4 linked regions of the Caenorhabditis elegans genome follow. The protein of the gene in region 2 purifies or fractionates together with the protein of the main gene of each other region. This does not show direct contact. Each region holds a gene or a part of one and is shown on either strand. Other genes may lie near its edges.

Region 1 (5,367 bases), on a different chromosome or scaffold from region 2:
AAAACATTTTTGGAAAATTATTTATTCAATTTTTTGGCAATTGTATTTGCCCATTACGGTCCATTTTCTATGGTTTAAATCAGAATACCGAATTGCTTTTCTCCACTTTTGAAGTTAAATATTTGAAAAAAAACTTACTGCAAACGTCAATTTATAAATAAACAATTTCTCATGCCATTCTGTTTTGACCAAAAGTAATACTCCAAGCGTGATTCCAATTATTGAGGTAGCAATACTGATCCCACAATGTATGTAAACCCAGGTCTGAAAAATTAAATTTTCTGAAGCAAAAAAATAAATTGCAAGCCAAACCTGAATACGGAGCCTAAAACAAGTCTGCTTTTTTTCATTTTCTGAAAAGTTTCCAAAAGGACCTTGAATGTTTAAATATGGATTTCCTGAAAACAAAAATTTTGAACGTAAATTATGGAAATTGTGTATGAAAATATGTCTCAATTAGTTGCTCTAATTGGTTTGGTTTGTAAAAAACGTTTTAAAAGTAAGAACCCAAGAATTTTAAATTTAGACTAAATTATTTGCTTTTTAGAAATAAAAAAACATTTTTATATTTTGATATATAAAATATATGTGTGAAACTTACCTGAAATCATTTTTGTTGTAAATTATGATTCCCAGCTACAACCTTCAAAGCAGAAACAAAACGAAGAGTGGAGCAGAGAATGTTGAGCTCAGTTGACAACTGTTACACCATCATTTCATTTCAATCACATTGTTGTTTCTCACTCTAATTCTCAACCTTATGTATCACTAACATCTAATAAATTTTATTCGATTTTCGCATATTCTTTCATCTCAACTGATGTTTCTGAATAATCAAGTGTCAATTTTTAAATTGCTGACAAAAATACAACCGTGTTCATGAATTGCACTCTAATTCTTCTCATAACCCCACAGTTAACTGAAATGCTGTTCAAATGACCACTTGCTTTTGTGTCATACACCCATTTTGCACCCATTGATACTTTCTATCCGTTCCAAGTGTAAACTTTTCTCTCTATCACTTTTATTTTTGCAACAAGTAGATCAAATGATTTATTAATGCCTAAATAACCAGTTTTTATGCAGTACTGACAATCTTTGTAGGTTTGTCTTCTTCTCTTCGCAGCAATGCGAACATCACTTGAACAGTTTCATCGAGACCATATTCTGGATTCCATCCCCAATCCTTACGTGCTTCACTGTCATCCAATGACATAGGCCATGAATCGGCTGAAAAAAATTATTTTAGTTTTTTTAAAAGAGGTATTTCTTTTTGCAAGTCCACTTGCAAAAATGATCATATATCACCTACCAATAGACTGCCTTGTTGGACAGATATCGTAATCAATCTCGAAACCTGGCATCACTCTTCGAATTGCATCAGCAATTTCCTCTGGTGTGAATGAGAATCCCGTTACATTGTATGTTCGCCTCTTCAATGATTGACTGTCAGCAGCCAAAAGTTGAATGACTGAAGCCATACAATCAGTGTCGTACATCATTGGAAGACGTGTGTCTGGTCGAAGGTAGCAGGTGTGCTTGCCTTTTTGAAGAGCGTCGTAGAAAATTTGGATTGCGTAGTCTGAAAGGAGGATAGTTTTGACTGTGTACGTGAGAAATATTCTTTTCAAAAATGTATCAACTGATCAACTTTGACCACTTTTTGATACCGTTTGTCTGCAAGGAAATTATCTCTAATCGTGTTACAAAACCTTTCTAATTGAAAAGGTCGTATCAAAAATTAGTTGGGAAGTAATTCGAAACCATTCATATAGGGCTAAAAGGACCAAATTTCATAGTAAAACTTTTCCAAAAGTTTTTGGAAAATTTTTATTGCCAGTCAGAAAGTGGCAATTACTGAGTTTTGCCATTTTTCAAAAAAAAAAAATCTAAAACATTGTTGCATGTTCAAATCCCAATGTTGAACTATGAACATTTTCAACATAATCAAACAGCTGTAAGAAATTTTTTTCTGATTTTTTAATCGACGACTTGCAAAAGATAGGTGAAAACTGAGATTTCACCTTTTCAAATTTTTTTCTCTAAGTTTTATTATAATATTTGGTCATTTTAGAATTGACCGTACTTCATCTTTAAAGGAAAAAAGTTTCAAATTCTCGTTTAATTATTATATAATTTTACTCACCAGTAGTTCCACCACCTGGCTTTGTCGCTGAGATAATACCCGGGAATCTCATGCTTCTGAAATCAACCCCAAACCGATGATTGAAATATTCTCCGAGACGTTCTGCATATACTTTACTGACTCCATAAATGGTTGTAGGACATTGTACTGTAAGATCTGGAGTGTTTTCTCTTGGAGTTGTTGGTCCAAAAGCTCCAATTGTGGATGGAATGAACACTTTTAGCTTATGTTTTCTGAAACAATACAATGTCAAGATATAGTCCAATACAAGTAGGAACTTACGCAGCAACTTGCAAAATGTTCTCAACTCCTCTACAATTCACTTGCAGAGCCAACGGAACATTTGTTTCTCCAACAGCTGATAGAAGTGCAGAGAAATGAACAATTGTGTCGATGTTTTTGTTAACAACGATTTCTTCAATAGATCCTTGATTCAAAATATCCAGGTAATTGTAGTCGGCTAAAATACACAATAAATTAATTTTCTGTTGAAAATATGGAAAGCAGTTTCAACTTACAAACATCTGTAGCATTTGCAGGAAGACGAACAATATCACTCATAACAACGCATTCAGATCCATACATGTACTTGTAGACTGAATTTAAACCTCTTCCAAGCTGCCCAAGAGATCCAGTGATTAAAACTCGAGGAGCTTTTTGTGTTTGACTGATTGTTTTAAACCGTAATAAAGGATCAACTGGTAAAGGTGAATAGTTTCTTCTGGCATTGTGAATTCTTCCAAAAACTCGCAAGTTTTTCATTTTTTGTGTGACACGGAAGCAGACGAAGAACAGTTGATAATCAAAAAAGTTAACAGTTAGAAAAATGAGTAATCAAATCAAGTGTAGTTATGTGGGAATTTTCTTAAAAGAGGAACCAGTGAGGTCGCCTGATCAGAGACTTAGACATCGACGCCTTCTGATTTCAACGAAATGGGTGGAGGGTTGATCTTATAACTTGATGACGACGACGACGAAGACATACACTCATTTGTCCTCTTCCCACACGTGGTCATTGTCTAATTCAATTATCACGCAATTTGACGGATGCTGCCTGCTGAAGGCCTGTCCCCCCCCCCCCCCCAATTGCTAGAGAGACGAATCAAAGATAAGTATGTACCTTTTTTGTTCCCAACGCATACCTAGAGACAAACACGTGTTTCGTTAAAAAGTTACTTTGGGATACAGTTTTGGTACGGATGTACTCAGATTGTTCAGATTTTAAAGATTTTCGTAGGCTTTTTTGAAAAAATTATAAGAGTAAGTAGAGTGACTAATAGTAGTGTGACTGACTAGATGCCACGTGGGATGATATAATAACAAGCGTGACTGTATGATTAAAAGTCTAACATATGACACCCGTCTTGCCTTGGCTGGACTATCCGAATTAGAAATTTCAGCTAGTCACGATGATTGAAAAATGTAGGATCTGAAGCCAATATAACTAATTGAGGTCTCTCAAAATATTAATAAATTCAATTTTTTGGATAAAAAGATCAAAACATAGACTGGTAAGATTGAAAAATCAGTTAAAAATTTAAAGTGTTGTGGTATTCTAGTTTTGGGATAACTGTTGGGATCACCACTGTTAAGATCTCCACTGCAATATTTCTCTCAAAAAAGACGGGAAGTTGGTGAAAATTTCTACCGGAAAGGTGTCGTTGTTTGTCAAGCTGGCTGGGCAGGTTGTTGGCCAAATTTCAAATATTACTTTTAAACATTAAATTATTATTTTACAAATAATATCAAAACCACATTTATTTGTCTATTCATTTATTGAAGGAAATTATGAATCAGCCATCCATCAGTTTGTTTCATCCTTGAGCAATGGTTTCTCGCGAACTTCAAGGCGGCCACTCGTTGGACGGAGAATTTCGAACGAGCACTGTAAGAATGCACATTTATTACAACATTTCAATTAAAAATTTTTACCTGAAGCTTCTCGTCGCAAGACATGAAGGCAGCACAGTTGTCGAATTGACCACAGTAATGAGGAGCCGAGAAGATTGTCTAAAAATTTTTAATGTTCCTTTCTCTCGGCACTTTTTTTTTACTCATACCACCAATTTCCGACCAGCAAAGAACTCATAACCGTCTTGAACAACTTGATGGGCACGACAGATCAGGTCAAGCTTAAAATCGGAGCACACTTTCAGAACAGCATCTCTTCCGAATCCACACCCGGCACCTCGGTTGTTTTCCTGAATAAAGTTGATGAAATCGATCTTTTCTTATCAGAAAGTTACCATAAACCCAGAAAGACCACTAATAGGATCGGCCCACAAAAGATCAGCTACCAGTCTCTCCTTGCCGTCATGGCCTATTAATTTTTCTCAGGTTGTCCAAAGTGAAATCCTTTGACATACTAGGCGATAGTCCTCCGTGCATGCACAAGATCTTATTAGCAATGAGTCCGCAGAGTGGAAGCCAATTGAATACGTCCTGAAAGTACCGTTTTTCCTGTATTAATATTGCACCTTATTGTTCAATTTTGGTAAAAAATCAAATTTACCTGGAAAGCCGTGAACATGCGAACACTTTGATAGCGTTTCTGACACTCTTCATAGAATCCATATACCTTGTTGACAAACTCGCACTCATGGTTTCCACGCAACAAGAATAAATTGCCCGGGAATTTCACCTGGAATCATGACTTGAAAAATGTTTCAAAGAAGTTCACGCCATGGGATTTGGAAGATCGGGAGAGAGAAATAAACGTCCAAAAGATCCATCACTCCAGTTGACGTCATTTTTCAAATTTGACAGCTCATCGGAGCAGCATCAACTTTCTGTCACTTTGATACTTGAGAGATGCGCACTTTTTTGCAGAGCAATATGTGATGGACAATAAATATGTTTCTTTTTGAAAACACATTTATTTATCACATGTGTACGCTTATTTTGGAAAATCTAAGCGGTCTCTGCAAAAATCCCCTGTTTTGGCATTCTTTGTGTCAATGATTAATTCTGGCGCGTCACAATTTTTGATCCTAGCTTCTTTTTGCAAAACTTAAAGCAACAAACCTTATAAGCGAGAAGAAGAACAATGGTTTCAATGCTAAATCTTCCACGGTCCACATAGTCACCAAGGAATAAATAATTCGCAGTCGGCGGCCATCCACCACGATGGAAGAGACGAAGAAGATCCGGGAATTGTCCATGGATGTCACCGCACACCTTTATCGGAGCATTCATTTCAACCATTGATTTCTGTCTTTTAA
Region 2 (4,786 bases):
CTTCTTCTTGGAATTGATCAACATAGTGATGGCGGATATTTAACTTCGGTACAATCAAACTAATTGCAGTGAACCTTCATGTGATAAATATTTCAGTTTGTTATCACATCGGATGACTTATGGATTCGGAATTATGGACGATTGTATCAAAAACTATGCTCCTCTGTGGCTGATATTCCTATCGGTATTTTCAGAACCAAAAAGATGGACACTAAGACGGTAAACACAAATCTGCTCAGTATCGACTAATTGTTTTTTTTTTTAATATTTTCAGGTATCCCTTGATCTTCAAGAACAATGCAAAGATTTTGAAAACACTGAAATGGGAAGAAACAAAGATATGTATGATCATGTGAAAAATCGAATGAGACTTCTTAATATAAAAGACACTCATACTTGTAAGTTTTATTCGGAATTAGTTTTCTATTTTTAAACCCTTTCTAGTCAATTGGAAATATGCTAGCCGGTGCAGATCAACAGGTATAAGCCGAAGAGTGGTGTGAACCAGCAGACAAAATAAAATTAGAAAACTTACTTTAATACTTACTATTTACTTTTATTTCATTTCATAATAAGGTTGAAGATTCTTTAAGTTTAATTCTAATTGCTTCAGTGTGATCATTTTTCTTGGTGCGGTTAGACGTGGTGAACTGTATTTTAAATTTCAGTGCTCGAAGGAAGCGATGAAAAGTCGCAAATCTCATATGTCATCATCAATCCTGCTCAAGATTTGGAACTAGAGTCCGGAGATATTGTGTACGATTTTAAATTCTATTTCAGATGAATTTTTGATCAAGAACTCATAAATGAACTTTCAGCTACGTAATCAGAAGTCCAATCCGGAAAGATGCAACCAACGCAAGAATTAACCCAAGAAGGGGTCTAAGACGCAGTAAAAATGTTAGTGAAACCATCGATTCAACAAATCAAGTCCCAACAATTGTCATTGATGAGAATAATTTGTAAACTTGCGTTTTTTGTACAATGCCCAACACAACGAAAAGTTGAATTTGCTGGAATATTTGCTCGTGTTTTAAAAATGAATATTTTTGTAATTTTATTTGTCGTAACATGATTCAAAATTAAATTTGTAGCGCTATACAAACAAACGGATTAAATGCTGAACGTTTGCCGGGCATCCTGTCACTGGACATCTGAAATTTTTCTCAAATAATTGATAGTTTAAAATAAAGAAAACTCACTTGTTATAAGTGTTTACGTATTGGTTGATACATGTGTAGCAGAATACATATCCAGATACAAAAAGCGCAGTATCATTAACTCTTTTCTTCAAACAAATTGGGCATTTATTGGTGTCCAAACTCAAAATTTCCGATTCAGATATGATCATTTTGTGTGGAGGTGAAGGAATAGCTCCGTCAAGGCCAGTCTTTGTAAGTTTTGCCAAATCTGTGTTGTACATATAATCCAAAAACTGTACAAAGAAGAGCCCATAAGCAAAGAGCCTTGAAACGATTCCAGGTAGTCCCAAAATAAATCTCCAGATGCGATTGAAGAATCTTAAATGAATATGTTCGTTTAATGTTCCTCTAGAAATTTGATACCCAGTTTGGAGATGAAGAGGAACAGCATTGAAAGCTTCCAAGTCTTCTGGCGTAAGATGTTTCAGAATCACGCCTGAGAAGTAAAGCCATGGCGAGTGAATGGAGCTGCGGTTCAAAATGTATGCAAGTTGTAGAGCACTTTTCACTGCCTTAAGAGCTGTCTTGATGTATGGCCAAATGATCACAAACATTTTTTGACACTTTGCTTTCATGCCCTGGAATTATAAACGATATTTCAAATTTATTTGTCTATACATACATTAATTGATGACCAGCTTCTGCATTCGTAAACTTCCTTGAGCCTGTCATAAAGCTGATTCAATTTATTCTCTACATAAGGCCATCCGACTAATGTAATAAGCGACATTATTCTTTCCCTACCATCGTTCGGTGGATTTCCTGTGCCTGATGCTATTCGCTTCATAGAATAAAAGTTTTCCGTGAACGACGCTCCTGAAACACATTATCTTTAGGTGAAAAATTGGAATTAAAAAACGTACCATAGTTTCTCAAATAGTGGTTTTGCAAAATGAGATCGAATATGATGTAGTATTCATCAAAGTTTCGGTGAACCGAAAGAAATGTTTTTGGCTTGAAGAATGCTAGATACTGAAATGTTCAATTTCAAATATTCGTTTCACTTTTATTCTTAACATACTTTTACAAGATGCTGTAAAGCCGGTCTGATTGATGTTGCAAGATTTTCTTGAGCGATTATATCAAAAACCGATGGCTGCTTTTCTTCAGTTTTTGGAGAAATTGACGAAGCCAGCTGCGAGGCACGAATAGTCGTACTCATTATTTCCTAAATTTTTCAGTTAAAAATAAGAGGAAATTGTTGAGATTATACTCATTAAAATTTACAAATAAAACCAAAAAAAAGGAGAGATATGAAAATGATTGAACACGACCATCGATTGCCGGAGGAGCGAGGACACTGTCCGTATCATACTACGACGTAGTGTGTCCTTGTCTTATCACGATTAGATAGTAATTGAAATGTGGAGGGTTAGAATTGCAACAATGTAACCTTTGCTTTTCTTAACTGTAGATCTATTGATGCAAAATACAATGAAAATAACGACTCTTTAATAAATGCATGAATAATAAATAAATGGGATTTTCAATTATTTGTAGTGAGTTTTACGGTGCGTGCTAGTTCTTTATGATTTTTTTAAAGAGACACCAAAACGTGGACAACTATATACATTATTTTAAATATAAAAACAATAAATCACGAATTGTTTGCACGCAACATTTGTTCTTATCTTAACTCTTATCAACTTCAATCCGCTTTTGGAAGAACTGAACCAACGTGGAGGGTGGTTTAATGTTTTTATTCAAATACGAACCGCAATTGGGGAATCATCACATAAATGATAATTCTATCAGTAAAAGTTACGGAAACTGAAAAAAAGTCAAACAACTGAAGATCGAATTTGAGGAAAAAACGGAAATGCAAAAATGGCACTGAATAGAAAAACTGTGTGCGTAGAATTGAGCGGTTCACTTGAGTAGATTTTAAGAAAAAGAACATGGGACTGGGAGAAATGAATAATGGGAAAATGATACTCGTAGATTCTAGGTGCGATCAAATGAAATGAAAGAAAATTTCAACTGAATTGTCGACATAAATACATGCATTTTTTAATTAAGTAGGCGCAATTGTGATAATACATTTTCTGAGGCTCTTCATCGATAATTACGTTGATAATCATCTGTGTAGGTGTAGTTTGCGTATCCACTGAAAAAAATAGTTTTTTGAAACATTTGAATTTATATTTAGAACATTTTTCATATCCAGATTTCAATAGCAGGGCTGTTACTTTTTCATTATTTAATATTTTTTGGGTTCTGGCAAACATTAAACATTTTTGTCGCATTTGTAATAATGCAAAATTTTTCTAAAACAGTATTTGTTGGTAATTTGCTACATCAACTTTTTGATCTTTATTGTTGGTTTTTGTGTTTCAAACTGAACTCGTTTTATTTCTGATACCGAGTATTTGAAAGATCATTTCAAAATGTGTAGTTTCAAAAAATATTCCAATTGATATTAATATGCTAACTTACGGCTTAGGCCTAGTGTCATATGTATCGGTAATGAACGATGACATGTGATGTGTTTCAGATGGTGGTTCCACAATGCTGAAATATATAAAATTATATTCAAAATTGCAAAGTTAAGGGTTATTTTTCGAAAAAATGGCTAAGCTAAAGTTATTGTGACACTTTTCTTTAAATAAAATTGTGAAACTTACTATTTTGGGAACGCGTGCATCTTAGAGTATAAACCTATTAATGAGTTTGAAATTATCACAATTGGTATCAACAGAACTAGGCAGATCAGCATACACATCCATGTCCCGTTCTGAAATTATAAATTGAAAACAGTTCCCCAATTTTTGTGTCATTTTTACATATGGATCAATTGTGTAAGCACAAACAGCAGCAGTTGTTTGCCGGGCAATTTGTGTCAACGGTTGACATGACGTGACCTCGCTCTCCATCTGAAAAGTCAAGCAATTATAGAATTTTTTGAAACACTTTTGCGTTATTACCTGGCTTTTGACATGAACTATGTACTGGTCGATGTTGTTAACCATTTGTTGGAATTCTTCTTTAGCTGCACGACCGAAATGCTCTCTCATGTTTTCAGCCAGTAAAGCCTGAGCATGCTGAAGCTTTACAAGAAGAGAAGAAACAGGAACTTGAAGCTGAGAAAGTCTGGAATAAGTATTTTATAGGAATTCAACATTTAAAGAATTTTCACTTTTCATCGAGTGAAGTAATGTTAGAGTACAATGCCTCTAATCTGCTCCTTAATGGTTTCGCAAATTGAATCTCTAACTCTCTGATTTGTTCAAGAACAAGAGTCACTGCCTTAGGACGACCCGAATTTGCGTCTAGAGATTCCTCGAATTCCCGCGTTTTGGATGCTAAGTCGAGTTCATCCATTGCATGCTTTATCTGAAACTCAAAGTTAAAAATTGCTCAATTATGTTTCCAATCTACAAACCGCATTCAGGCCTTGTTGGCTAACTTTTGAAACATTCACTGAGGCGAGTTTCTCCAAATCTCGAAGTTCGCTTCTTGAAATGAATGCATCAAGCGGACGAATTTCCGGCATATTTTCCATAGTTGTTCGCAAGGAAATTTGCAGTTGGTTGTATGCATCTTTTTCAAAATCCTGCAAAATTTATATTTAACATATCTATGTA
Region 3 (4,629 bases), on a different chromosome or scaffold from region 2:
TGAAACTTTAGAAAATGCTCTGAAGAGCACTTGAACCTAGCAAAGACCTTCAACTGAAGGTTCCATTCATTGGAAAATCACAAAGTAACTAACTGCCGAAAACCTACCATTTTCAAAAGATTACTACCAGCTGCTTTTGTTGTCCCTTTAGCCACATATGTTCCCTTGGCAATTGAAGTACGAAGCTTATTATGAAGGTCCACAATGAATTGTTGAGTGCTTTCTCTGAATTGAGCATAAGCTCCTGAAAAATTGAAGAAAATTAGTTTCAAAAATTTCCAAAAAAAAAACTTACCAATCTGAAGGGTAACCAAAACGAGAAGAGTAAAGGTGTGCATGTTGTCTGTTGAAAATACAACTAGTAGGTTGGATATTTATAGGAGATTTTAGTTTGTATGAACAACTGGATGTCGTCGTCGCCGTGAGGGAAACTAAAAGTCATGGGAAGAGGGAAAAAACTAAAGAACGTGTGCTTTAATAGAAATAGACTAAATTGGTAAGAGTTTTATGTTGACATTGTTTGTTTTATATACAAAAGGGAGGCTGAAGTTGGATTTCATTTTTTGAAATTTCACACAGTAGATAGTAACAATACAGACATACGGTAATTTTTTGAAATTCATGGAAGTCAGAAACGGAAAAATAAAAACGTTTTCAAGCTGTTAACTTTCAACTAAATCACCAACATCTTTGAAAATACATACAAGATATCGTAGTCAAAAAACCTATAGCTTGAACTTTTTTCATAACTTAGATACATCTCTAGACACAAGTAGTCTTTGACCTCCCAATAAAGTTCTAACTGCTCATTATACTCCAAATCTGCCAATAGGATTTCGAACACGTAATCGTCGCATTTGTTACATAGGCATTTTGATCAAAGGTTGTTTGTGTTCTGGTTTTCAACTAGCACACAATTTTATTTATTATCTACAGAAAGTTTGAAAACACATTGCATTATTAAAGTTTAGACGCAGAGCCCTGTGGAAGTCTCACATGACGTTCCTGATGGACAGCCGGAACAGGTTGCTCCCGATACGTAGATGTATTGATTAATGAAGTTTCCTCTGAAAATTGATGTATTAGCAAACAGTAGCTTGTATTCAACAGGGCTCTCTCGCACATACACTTTTCAATTTTTTTTTATGTTAAAAATTTTGTCTCGGTTGAAATTAATTTTCCTAAAACTACTTTTTACTCTTCAGAAAAATCCTAACTCACAAAGTGTTCAAGACTACTTTACCAGTTGTCGAAGCACAGTTCACTTTTCGCCAACAACAATATTTTTCGTATTTTTGTATAATTTTTATTGGGTTTTTTGTTTTTAATGATCTCCTCAAAATGATCAAAATTTGTTGAAAATTGCCTAATTTTTTGGATTTTGTTTCAGGGAACGTGACCAAAAATTTATCTTTTTTGCAAACCTATCCTAGAGAACAACACAAAACACAACATTCGCAGACACAGTCAACATAGACTAGTCAACAAATCTCACTTACTGCGGCTTGTACTGGCACACGACGGTTACTTTGTTCAGGCCGTTTGAGTCTCTTCCACAATCCTTGACTCCACATCCGATCAGGTTGGATTTCGCCCACGCCATTTGAGTCGCGTGTCCGATTCCTGTGTTGAAGAGATCGATAGTCATAAGGTTAGACTTCCATCCGTAATCTTGGAATTCTTTTTCCCATGATGCCGACGCAGCAGATCCCTGAATGAAAAGATTGATTATAGAAATTTCAGAAACTTTTAAAATAAAGAAGGTATCAAGCGCCTGCCTCCTGCCTACTGCCAATATTCGCATGTTGTATTTAGGCAAAATTTGAACAAAATAGGCAGTAGGTCTAGGCAGGCAGGCACAAGGTAGACTAAATGACTGACATATTGATTGAGGTCTCCCAGAGATCCACTTGTCCAATACCAATACAAATTCTCCCCAAGGCCTGCATCTCCAGAGTGTCCCGTCGGACACCCGTTTGCGTAGTTTTGGGCGGATGCGGCGACTGCGGAATCCCATTTCTGAAAAGTTGAAATCAAAAATAAATCTGAGAACCTTAGTTATGTACATACCATTTTCAACAGATTTGTTCCCGGCGATTTCTGAGTTCCTTTTGCCACGTAGGTACCTTTTGCAATTTTAGACCGCAGAGTGTTATGTGCATTGATAATTCCGTTTTGTCCGGAAGAGCCGAAATCAGCGGAGCAGCCAACAGCAAGCGCCACAACCAGCAACAAGTAATTCATAATTGGAGAAAAAAGTGCAAGTCAACACGAATATGTTTATCACTGCGGTTCATTTTATAGGAGTCTTATCACGCGAAAACCTGTAAAATTGTATGATAATTGAGAAATCGTAAGCTACGTATGATCGGAAGTGGGCAGCACAAGACCAAAGAATTGACTTTTATCAGTAATTATGAACATTTGAGTCAAGTCAACAAGTATTCTGATTAGGAAGAAGTGAATTTTCTTCCTAATTTTGTTGTTGGCACATAGGCAAGTAGAATGTTTTACTTTTGCCTGCACTTGATGTTGTGTGCATTTTCGTAAATTTTAAAAAAGTTTGGTGTAATTTAAAGTTTTCGCTTTATTTTTTTTATATAATCACCAAGAAAAAACAAATGCTTCATTAGTAAATTAATTCCCAGATTAAAACAAAACAAATAAATTAAAAAATTACAGACACAAAAAGTGAAATCTCTCATTATCCGCAAAGCCCAGAAGCAGTGTCACATTTAGTAGATCCGGAACAGCTGGAACACGTAGTTCCTTCCTTATAAATCGGCCGTCCCATAGTGTTTCCTCTGAATATTTTTGAACAATTTTGAGTTAAAAAAAATCAAAAACTTCAGTGCTTACGGTGGACTATACTGGCAGACTACAGCTATTTTGTTCATATTTCTCATCGATGCGTCTCGTCCACAATTCTTGACTCCACACCCGATGGAGCTGGTGTTTGCCCAAGCCATTTGAGTAGCGTGTCCTATTCCACTGTTGAATAGGGTGGTATCCATTGCGTTAGACTTCCAGCCAAAGTCTTGGAATTCCTTTTCCCATGCGGCAGCGGCGATTTCTCCCTGGAAAGAATTATTGATTTCTGTCCCAGAAAAGTTATGCGACTCACATAGGAATCCAAGGATCCAACATCCGCAGAAGTCCAAGACCAATACAAATTTTCCCCATATCCAGTTCCCTTTGAGTGTCCAGTTGGGCACGTATTCGCATAATTCTGAGCCGACGCAGCTACGGTGGAATCCACGACCTGAAAAGTTTATTGAAGTATCATCATTGGGCTTTTTGTTCAAATATGATTGCCAAAAGTTACCCCAACTTGAATGACTTGAAACTCTTGAAAAAAGAAAACTTTAAGTTTTTTATTTGACATAATTGGGCAATTTAAAACCTACCATTTTCCTCATATCAGTTGCTGGTTCTTTTTTGGTTCCCTTCGCAACATAGGTACTCTTTGCAATAGCGGATCTCAATTTGTTATGAGCATCCACAATGCTTGATTGACCAGTTGAAGTGAATTGAGCATTGACACCAATTGCTAGGAGGCAGAGAATGAAGTACATGGCAAACAAAATTATGATTTAAAGTTGCAAACGTGCTGCTTTTTATGAGAGGAGTTTTTTAATCAAGTACGAGATTTTCAAATAACTTTTAATATTTGCAAAACGTAAACAACAACAATCTTTATTTTTGTCCATTGTAGAGAAAACTCATAAATGATCCAAACGATTTGGTCAATAACAACAACAAATTGAGCTTTTTACGGATATCAAAAAGATCAGCCGGACTGAAAATATTATGCTATCGGGCTTCAAACCCACACACTTTTCGACTCGGCAAATTTGGTAAATTTGCCGCCCACCCCTGGTTTGTACTCGAATAATTACTAGAGAATCAAGCAAAAAACTGGAACAAAACTTTATTAACAAAACTTTATACTTTGACAAAAAATATAGTAAGTACTGATTTCCTCATTAATATTAATAATTATAATAAACTAAATCGTAATTTATCTGTAATTTTAAATTTAACTTATTCAATATTCGCCGACTGGATTCTTACTTCAATCCAGGATTTACACTTGAGGACTTCAAATTGATGAAGTGTGAAGAACTGACAATATGGAACCATAGCTTTACTCCAGAATACTTGAATCATTTTATCCGTAATTGATTAAACGGAAACATGAAAGAATTGAGAAGATTCCACTTGGACCATGATTTCAAAATAAGAGATTGGGTAGTGGTGTTGAATGAAATAGTAGTTAGTCGATGGGACGAAGTACGCCGAGAAAAAGTATACAGGTATTAGTGGTAAAAAGGAAAAATGATTGTTCTTTGGCAAAAAAATTATTTATTTATTTATTTATTTCAAACAATGTGTAGGTCTGGCAACAAGTGAATAAATTTCTAATTTACTTAAAAATCTGTAGGGATGCTAAACTGACATAGGAAATACGGTATCAATTTCCAATTTCAGAATCGGTTTTCAAGAATTTGATTGTTCCGATGGTTGGGATATCGAAAGGGAAGATGGAACTATTGCTACTGTAGTTTTTGTGAAATCATCATTTGATTTTTTTGTTTGGTCTAAATGATTGGAGTCAGAAACAATTAT
Region 4 (6,424 bases), on a different chromosome or scaffold from region 2:
CTTTGTAGAGTTTCCTGAAGTTATTCGCACGCAATACAAAGTTGACATTGGAGAATCAGACGGACGAGTTCTGAAAAACTTTAAGTTTTGAAAATTGTATTTTTGAAATTATTTGTCATCGTGCGAAGAATTTCAAACGGAAGACCTTTTTGATGCACAACCCTTTCAAGCCAATTAGCAAATTAATGAGAGTTGATAAATTTATAAATTCTCCAGATATGTGAAATGGATTCTTTATCACGTGGAGAATAGAAATTAAAAATAAAAGTCGTGAGCGAGTTAATCTTTGTATTCATCGACTTCGCGACAACATTGATACAATAATATTGTGAGAACAGTTTTTAAAGTAAAATTAGAAATTGGCGTGGAAATAAATTAAATTTTGGTGTTATTTCATATAAATATTATTTTATAAATACATTGTGAAAGTTCTACAATGATTTTTGGCACTTAATAAATAGTTTTAAACATTTTCCCCGTGGGCGCTATCACTATTTTAAATTTTCCCCGTTTCACATTAATCATATAAATTCATTTAAACTAACGCAACATTATCGTTTTGGTTCTAAATGAGAAACTATTTTCCAGTGTTAGAAGCCTTTTAAGCATTTCCTGACATCCGGGTACCAAAGTTTTAATAAATTTTTTCAATTAAACATTTAAAAAATTTTGCCGTTTCACGTCGACGATATGTATAAATCTGAAAACTTTGCTTATACGTTTAGATTTTTATTTTTTGCAAAAATTTTAGCTTTCAAAGAAATTTGAAATTGTTTGTATATTTTGAATTTATTCAAAAACTGGATTTATTGGGAAATATACAGTTTGTGAAATATTATAGCTTGGATCCTTGTGATCTCTTTTGCAAAAACTGAGCCAAATCGCAAACCCATCTTGGTTGTTCATTTGTATACTTCCGGAATTCTTCCATTATATGCTCGTACGCTCTGAAAATCAAATTTAAAGTTCAGCAGAAACCTTTACATTTTAAAACTGACTTTCCATCAGATGCTCCCAGAGCTGAATGTAAAATGAAATCATCTGGAGCAATCGAGTCCACTAAAGCAATGGCCTCGGGTTTTAATTCGGCTACAGCGAGTCTAAGCTTCTCTCGAAGATCTTCTCCAAACTTTCCACCAGAAGCATATCCAGTAATATAAAGAGTTGCAAGATGTCTTTCCAAAAGGAAAAGTGAGAAAAGATTCAAAACTTTTTGAAGAACCGGCTTCACACTTTGATCTTCAATTTCTTTCAAGAACTGTTGAACCCAATGGATCATTGTATGTTCTGTGTATGCAACAGACAAATTGACAGCTCTATGAATTTGAATTTCATTTCGAACTTCGAATGAATTCTTTCCAGATGCTTTTAGTCTGTAAGCTTCTGCCGAAGTTGTTTGAAGTAAGTGATAAGTGAGATATCGGTACGCAGACAACACGTCATTAACTGGATTCGAAGACCATGATGAGAACTTTGAAGGTTTTTGATTCAAGAATGACATAGTAGACATCGGGGTCTCAATGGATCCAATTGATTGAGCCTGAACATCAGAATCTCAATATGATTAAAGAATCTGACAATTAAGTTTACTTTTCCTAGCAAAATATTGCTGGTTTGTTGCAAAATCATAAAGTTTTCTCCTTCAAATGTTTGTGATGGATCGTTGTCATCTCGGAGGGTGTTCAATCGTGACATTTGTAGGTATCTGTAATTTAAATTTTAACTTTAATCTGGAAAAAATAGAAAGACGAATTCTCAAAAAATGAGTTTCTTAAAGTTAAGTTTCAGGTTATGTTAGGAAACATACCCATGACCTCCACAAGCTTTTCTAGCTTCTCCAAGGGATTCTACACCAAGCCACGTTGCAACCGGTTTAGCTCCAGACGACAATGCATGTACTTCTTTTGAGAACTCGGAGAGCTCGTCTGACTTTTCTCCCATTATGACTCTCATCATATATTCAGTGAAATGTCCGACAAACCTATAAAGTTTAACTAATTATTGAAAACAATTTGTTTAGAGTTCCCACTTCTTCTGGAATATTCTAATGCAAATTGCAGCGGATAGGTACGGGAATAGACGATACTGTTGAAGTGGATACTCGAGAACTGGGATCTCATTTTCAGCTGAATTATACAAAAGTTGAGAAATTGAGAAAAGGAATGGTGCTCACCGCCTTTTACTGGTCCAAACTGTCGCCGAGCAACACTGTATCGAATAGCAATTGTAGATGCAAAAGTGCAAGCCATCATTCCTTTTGCGATAATTCCGAGTCTGAAATTTGTGTTATTGTGAAACCATTGTTGGTAAAGTTTGAATTTTGAAACAGTATTTTGTTTGAAAAAAATCAATCGGAAAAACTTATAGATTGCACTGTTTTCCCAACTTTATGAATTCGTCTGCTTTTACAATTTCGAATTGTCCTAAGAATGCCATTTCCATTATTTCTATTTGTATTAAATACAATGGCTTCACTCTAGAAAATCAATTCATATTTTAAAAGTATCGATTAAAGCTGGAATAGATTCGTTTTGAGATTTTGCTTTTATTGATAATAAGGCTCGGCCGTGAAATTTGCATCTTGTATCTACTAAAACTGAGAAAAAAACAACACATTTAAAAAGTTGGTAAAACAGCGGCTAGAAATTCTTCAGAACCTGATTTTTTTAACAGAAATTCTTTTAGATACAAATTTCACTCAATTAAAAAATTTTTCTATACGGCCGGCGTCGTAAAGTATTGAAAACATACCTTCCAACTGACAATGTTCCCAAACTGACACTCTGCTTCTCACTTGCAGATTTGAAACTTGTCACATATTTTCCATCCGGAGTAATATCACAACCCTTATTCAAAAGTGCACTCAGAGGAGCTCTATGGTTCTTAAACTCCATCCAGCCATTTTCTACTCCCTGCCAGCATCCTGGTTTCGAGCCCATGTCTCCAATGGTAATTCCTGGTAGAGTTTGGAAAGTTCTAGGGCAACGAACTTGAATCACAAATCCATGAAATCCCTCGTTCTTTCCTTCGACATGAAGTTGAGCATAAACAACTACGTGAGTGGCCGAGTGAGCTAAAAAAATGGATTTTTTTAAATTTAAAATTAAAAATGTTTTAAAACCCACCGAGATTTCCAGCCCAACATTTGATTGCACTGACACTTGGAGTATTGAAAACAAGTTCTCCATTGTCAAATGTAGCTGTTGTTTGAATTTCAGCAGTGTTTGAACCATGGCCTACTTCTGTCAGACAAAATGCTCCGACGATCTGAAATTTGCTATTTTGCAAGGAAACCTAAACTTTCCAGATTTGAATACAATGCGCTTTTGTTTAAATTTCTTTAGAATAAATTATTTTCAAATTTGTTTTGATTTTTCTTTTTCTTGAGTACTTCTTAATTTTGTATGCTATTTTCTTTGAAATTCACCTCATTGTTTTCAGTTTTCTGAATCAAATCCTTATGTCTATCTGTTCCCATTGACTTAACAGCTGCTCCAAAAACATTTCCGTGGAGGAAAAGCCTTGCAGATGTGCCTTGATCATAAGCTTCAAGAGTTTCAGTCAATGCATGGAAGTTTTCAAGATCGGAGTACGGCTGAATATTCGAATATATTGAAAATCTACAATTTAATAAGAAATACATCTTTGAACAACCCCCATTCGACAATTTTCTTCCATCTCTGATGAACAACTTCTCTTTGCTCTTCTCTACTCAATACTCGATAATCTCTGTGAAATACTGGTTCTGACTTCATTTTAGCAACTACTTCTGACTGAAATATATATAAATATTTTATAAATCCAAAATCTACTATACCTTCAGTCTAACATGTTCTTCTCCTTCAACGGCTGCTTTCAATTTTTTCCAGTCGAAAGTTGCCATTTTCCGGTATTTGTCAATTAAAGGAGCACTCATTTTTGATCTGAAACTGAAAAATTTACTAAATAAATCCTTTAAATTCAAAAGATTCATTTTATTTTCAGCAGAATATATGTTAAAATAAACTGAACAAAATTAAGACAAAAGCAATTGCATATGTACTGGGTAGGAAGAGTGTAGTCTTATCAAAAACAAAGAAAATAGAAAGTAATTGAGAGACGCAGAGATCGAAGACAGTCTGACTACAGCGTGGTGGTATTGTATAAATAGGGGGAGGAATGGTCTTTTAAAATTATCGTAGTAGATTGTAATTAGCTGGTGTTTGTAAAAAGGGTCAGAGGAAATTAACTGAAATTTTACAGAAAATTCATGTTTCCTTGTTTTAAAGTGGGCTCGGAGAGAGAATGTGGACAAGTAAATAGTTTAAAACAACGTAGTGGATAATAAAAAATTTAGTATTATTTCCATAAGTGTAAAACATGTTTTTAAATAAAAATACGCTAAAAAATTTCTAAATACAGTTTTGGCGAAAGTGGGGGTAACACATTTCCAGGAGCGTACTGGTCAAAATAAAAATTAAATTAAATTAAAATTAAATTAAAAATTATTAGCACTTTAACTTCAATATTTCATACTTTTACAATATTTTCCAACATTTTTGCAGTTTAGACTTTGATGTAAACATTTTTAGCGGTTTCATAGTTTTCCCGAAATCAATTTTGGCTGAACTACCAAAACTTGAAATTACTGATAATAATAATAGGTTTGCTCTGACTTGAGCAATTATATTAGGTGTCCGATAAAACCTACTCATCAATTTTGTGGAATTTGGAAAAAAATGTGATTGCCAACTTTGTGATTTTGTTGAAAACCTCAATAGAGAGTTTGCTTTTTCTTCGAATTACTAGATGCGTTTCACTATTTTATAAGTTAAAATAAGTGGAACCACAAAGTTCAGGCAATATTTTTCTATCATTACTAACATTAACAAGAAGAGATTAGTTTAATTCATGATCAAGACTGTTTTTACGAGATCTTTTTTTCAGCTGAAGTTTCAATATCAAAACAGAGAAAATGCCTCTGTTCATATAGTATTCGTGAAACAGCATAATAATTTTTTTGTTTAATTTAAATTTGAACACAAGAGTTGGCCAATTGAAGCATGATTGAAATACAATTAAAACTATTTATTTTCCATCTTTTTTCATAATTTCATAATCTTATTTCCCTCTTCTCAAACAAGTCTTTCGTTTCATGATCTTGGCATAAAGAAGAGCTTGAAAACATTTCTAATCCTTTTTTCCTTTTTTGCTAATCTCTCAAAACCTCCTACATTTCAATAATCTCTAGCTCTAACGTCACACATTCTGAGCTTTTGAGAGAGTCAGAGAAGCCACAAACCCGCCCATTTTCTGAAGAAGAAATCACTCATTCTGCCTTCTTCGACTGCTTGGTGGCGGTCCTATCTTCTTTTATGCAATATATCATACTATGTTATTTTTCTGTTATTTTATTGCTTAAACATCAAGCAATTAGAGTAAGTTAGTAGTATAGTGGGAATAGTTGTGCAAAAGACTTAAAGTTGCGCATTTTTGCAAATTTCTCGGTTGGTCCCCCGTTTTAGAATAATTGAGGAATTTCACTGAAAACCGTGTGTGCCTATTAATTATTGCTTCATGTGTGCCAATGTTGCGAATAAGTTTCTGGCATTAATTAGTGTATAAAACGTTGAAATGTGTGGATCGTAAAGTTGTGCATTGAAAACGGGGATCCGAGTTGTGACCGGAAAACTAGTCGATCTGAAATTTCACACTACACATTAATTCACAATTAGCTTTTCACAACTCGTCAAACTATGCGTACAAGAGCTATTTTGAACACGTTTTAATGTACGGGAAGGAAATTCAAAACTCCACTCTAACCGCGGCCGGTTTCTATCATGACCCTGTGATTGGCGACCACCGTAGTCCTGGGTTTCAACAGCGTTGTGCCTCAATTTACAACCAGGACGAAATACAAGTTGCGGCAAACATTTCGATTGACTTGATGAATCAGCCGCGAGTGCTCTTGAACGGTTGTAATGTGAAACTTACAGTTTACCCAAATGATAGTAAATTTTTGATTGAGGTTTACAATCGCGACAACAACACAGAGTTTCAGTTCAAAATAACCGACGTTTACGCTCTGGTTAACGAATTCGATCTTGCCGACGGTCTATCTAATGCTCTAGAGAGCTCCATTATTGAGCACAAAATAATCCAATATCCTCTAATATCTTCACAGGTGCGCAGTTTCTATATAGAGTCTGGACGTCTTGACGCGCCGGCTAACACACTCTTCACAAGCAAGATGCCCCGTCGAATTTTCATTGGTCTTGTTGATTCTGACGCGTACAATGGCTCTTATGATAAATCACCATTCAATTTCAAACCACATGGTATATCTGATATACATGTTGATTATTGTGGAATGACACTCCCCGGCCGCCCTTTTGCCTTAGATTTTGACAGAAACAAGTTTATGGAGGCATACATTCAACTTCAA

Evidence for each region.
Region 1: the proteins of prx-12 (region 2) and F08F3.4 fractionate together in Caenorhabditis elegans (co-fractionation; one large-scale study listed by BioGRID). This does not show direct contact.
Region 3: the proteins of prx-12 (region 2) and scl-2 fractionate together in Caenorhabditis elegans (co-fractionation; one large-scale study listed by BioGRID). This does not show direct contact.
Region 4: the proteins of prx-12 (region 2) and acox-3 fractionate together in Caenorhabditis elegans (co-fractionation; one large-scale study listed by BioGRID). This does not show direct contact.

Annotation. Positions count from the first base shown.
Region 1 is NC_003283.11:5,408,655-5,414,021, reverse strand, and holds F08F3.4 (L-threonine 3-dehydrogenase, mitochondrial), read right to left. Parts: upstream 3,068-5,367; 5' UTR 2,909-3,067; coding exon 2,665-2,908; intron 2,607-2,664; coding exon 2,429-2,606; intron 2,380-2,428; coding exon 2,147-2,379; intron 1,583-2,146; coding exon 1,313-1,582; intron 1,231-1,312; coding exon 1,079-1,230; 3' UTR 1,021-1,078; downstream 1-1,020. Other genes in the region: F08F3.10 (uncharacterized protein), read right to left, coding at 139-264, 313-398, 602-611; C25A6.1 (Serine/threonine-protein phosphatase), read right to left, coding at 3,951-4,031, 4,079-4,156, 4,207-4,347, 4,393-4,466, 4,513-4,588, 4,659-4,787, 5,171-5,367.
Region 2 is NC_003284.9:11,390,879-11,395,664, reverse strand, and holds prx-12 (Peroxisome assembly protein 12), read right to left. Parts: upstream 2,373-4,786; 5' UTR 2,365-2,372; coding exon 2,224-2,364; intron 2,175-2,223; coding exon 2,066-2,174; intron 2,019-2,065; coding exon 1,825-2,018; intron 1,781-1,824; coding exon 1,566-1,780; intron 1,521-1,565; coding exon 1,203-1,520; intron 1,155-1,202; coding exon 1,097-1,154; 3' UTR 1,046-1,096; downstream 1-1,045. Other genes in the region: slo-2 (RCK N-terminal domain-containing protein), read left to right, coding at 1-48, 97-219, 275-398, 669-756, 819-966; prmn-1 (PRoMiNin (5-transmembrane domain glycoprotein) homolog), read right to left, coding at 3,258-3,309, 3,639-3,713, 3,827-3,936, 3,986-4,075, 4,127-4,292, 4,339-4,535, 4,585-4,755. UniProt on the Caenorhabditis elegans protein: Component of a retrotranslocation channel required for peroxisome organization by mediating export of the PEX5/prx-5 receptor from peroxisomes to the cytosol, thereby promoting PEX5/prx-5 recycling.
Region 3 is NC_003282.8:13,055,337-13,059,965, reverse strand, and holds scl-2 (SCP domain-containing protein), read right to left. Parts: upstream 2,257-4,629; 5' UTR 2,245-2,256; coding exon 2,071-2,244; intron 2,020-2,070; coding exon 1,882-2,019; intron 1,712-1,881; coding exon 1,500-1,711; intron 1,068-1,499; coding exon 968-1,067; 3' UTR 904-967; downstream 1-903. Other genes in the region: scl-3 (SCP domain-containing protein), read right to left, coding at 108-244, 296-338; scl-1 (SCP domain-containing protein), read right to left, coding at 2,705-2,804, 2,860-3,077, 3,125-3,262, 3,408-3,575.
Region 4 is NC_003282.8:6,244,564-6,250,987, forward strand, and holds acox-3 (Acyl-coenzyme A oxidase acox-3), read right to left. Parts: upstream 3,930-6,424; 5' UTR 3,917-3,929; coding exon 3,818-3,916; intron 3,774-3,817; coding exon 3,642-3,773; intron 3,596-3,641; coding exon 3,428-3,595; intron 3,268-3,427; coding exon 3,126-3,267; intron 3,074-3,125; coding exon 2,752-3,073; intron 2,591-2,751; exon of another isoform or gene 2,570-2,590; intron 2,441-2,569; exon of another isoform or gene 2,419-2,440; intron 2,275-2,418; coding exon 2,174-2,274; intron 2,127-2,173; coding exon 2,030-2,126; intron 1,982-2,029; coding exon 1,808-1,981; intron 1,706-1,807; coding exon 1,591-1,705; intron 1,541-1,590; coding exon 999-1,540; intron 948-998; coding exon 836-947; 3' UTR 795-835; downstream 1-794. UniProt on the Caenorhabditis elegans protein: Involved in the first step of peroxisomal beta-oxidation by catalyzing the desaturation of fatty acid-derived side chains of ascaroside pheromones, which regulates development and behavior.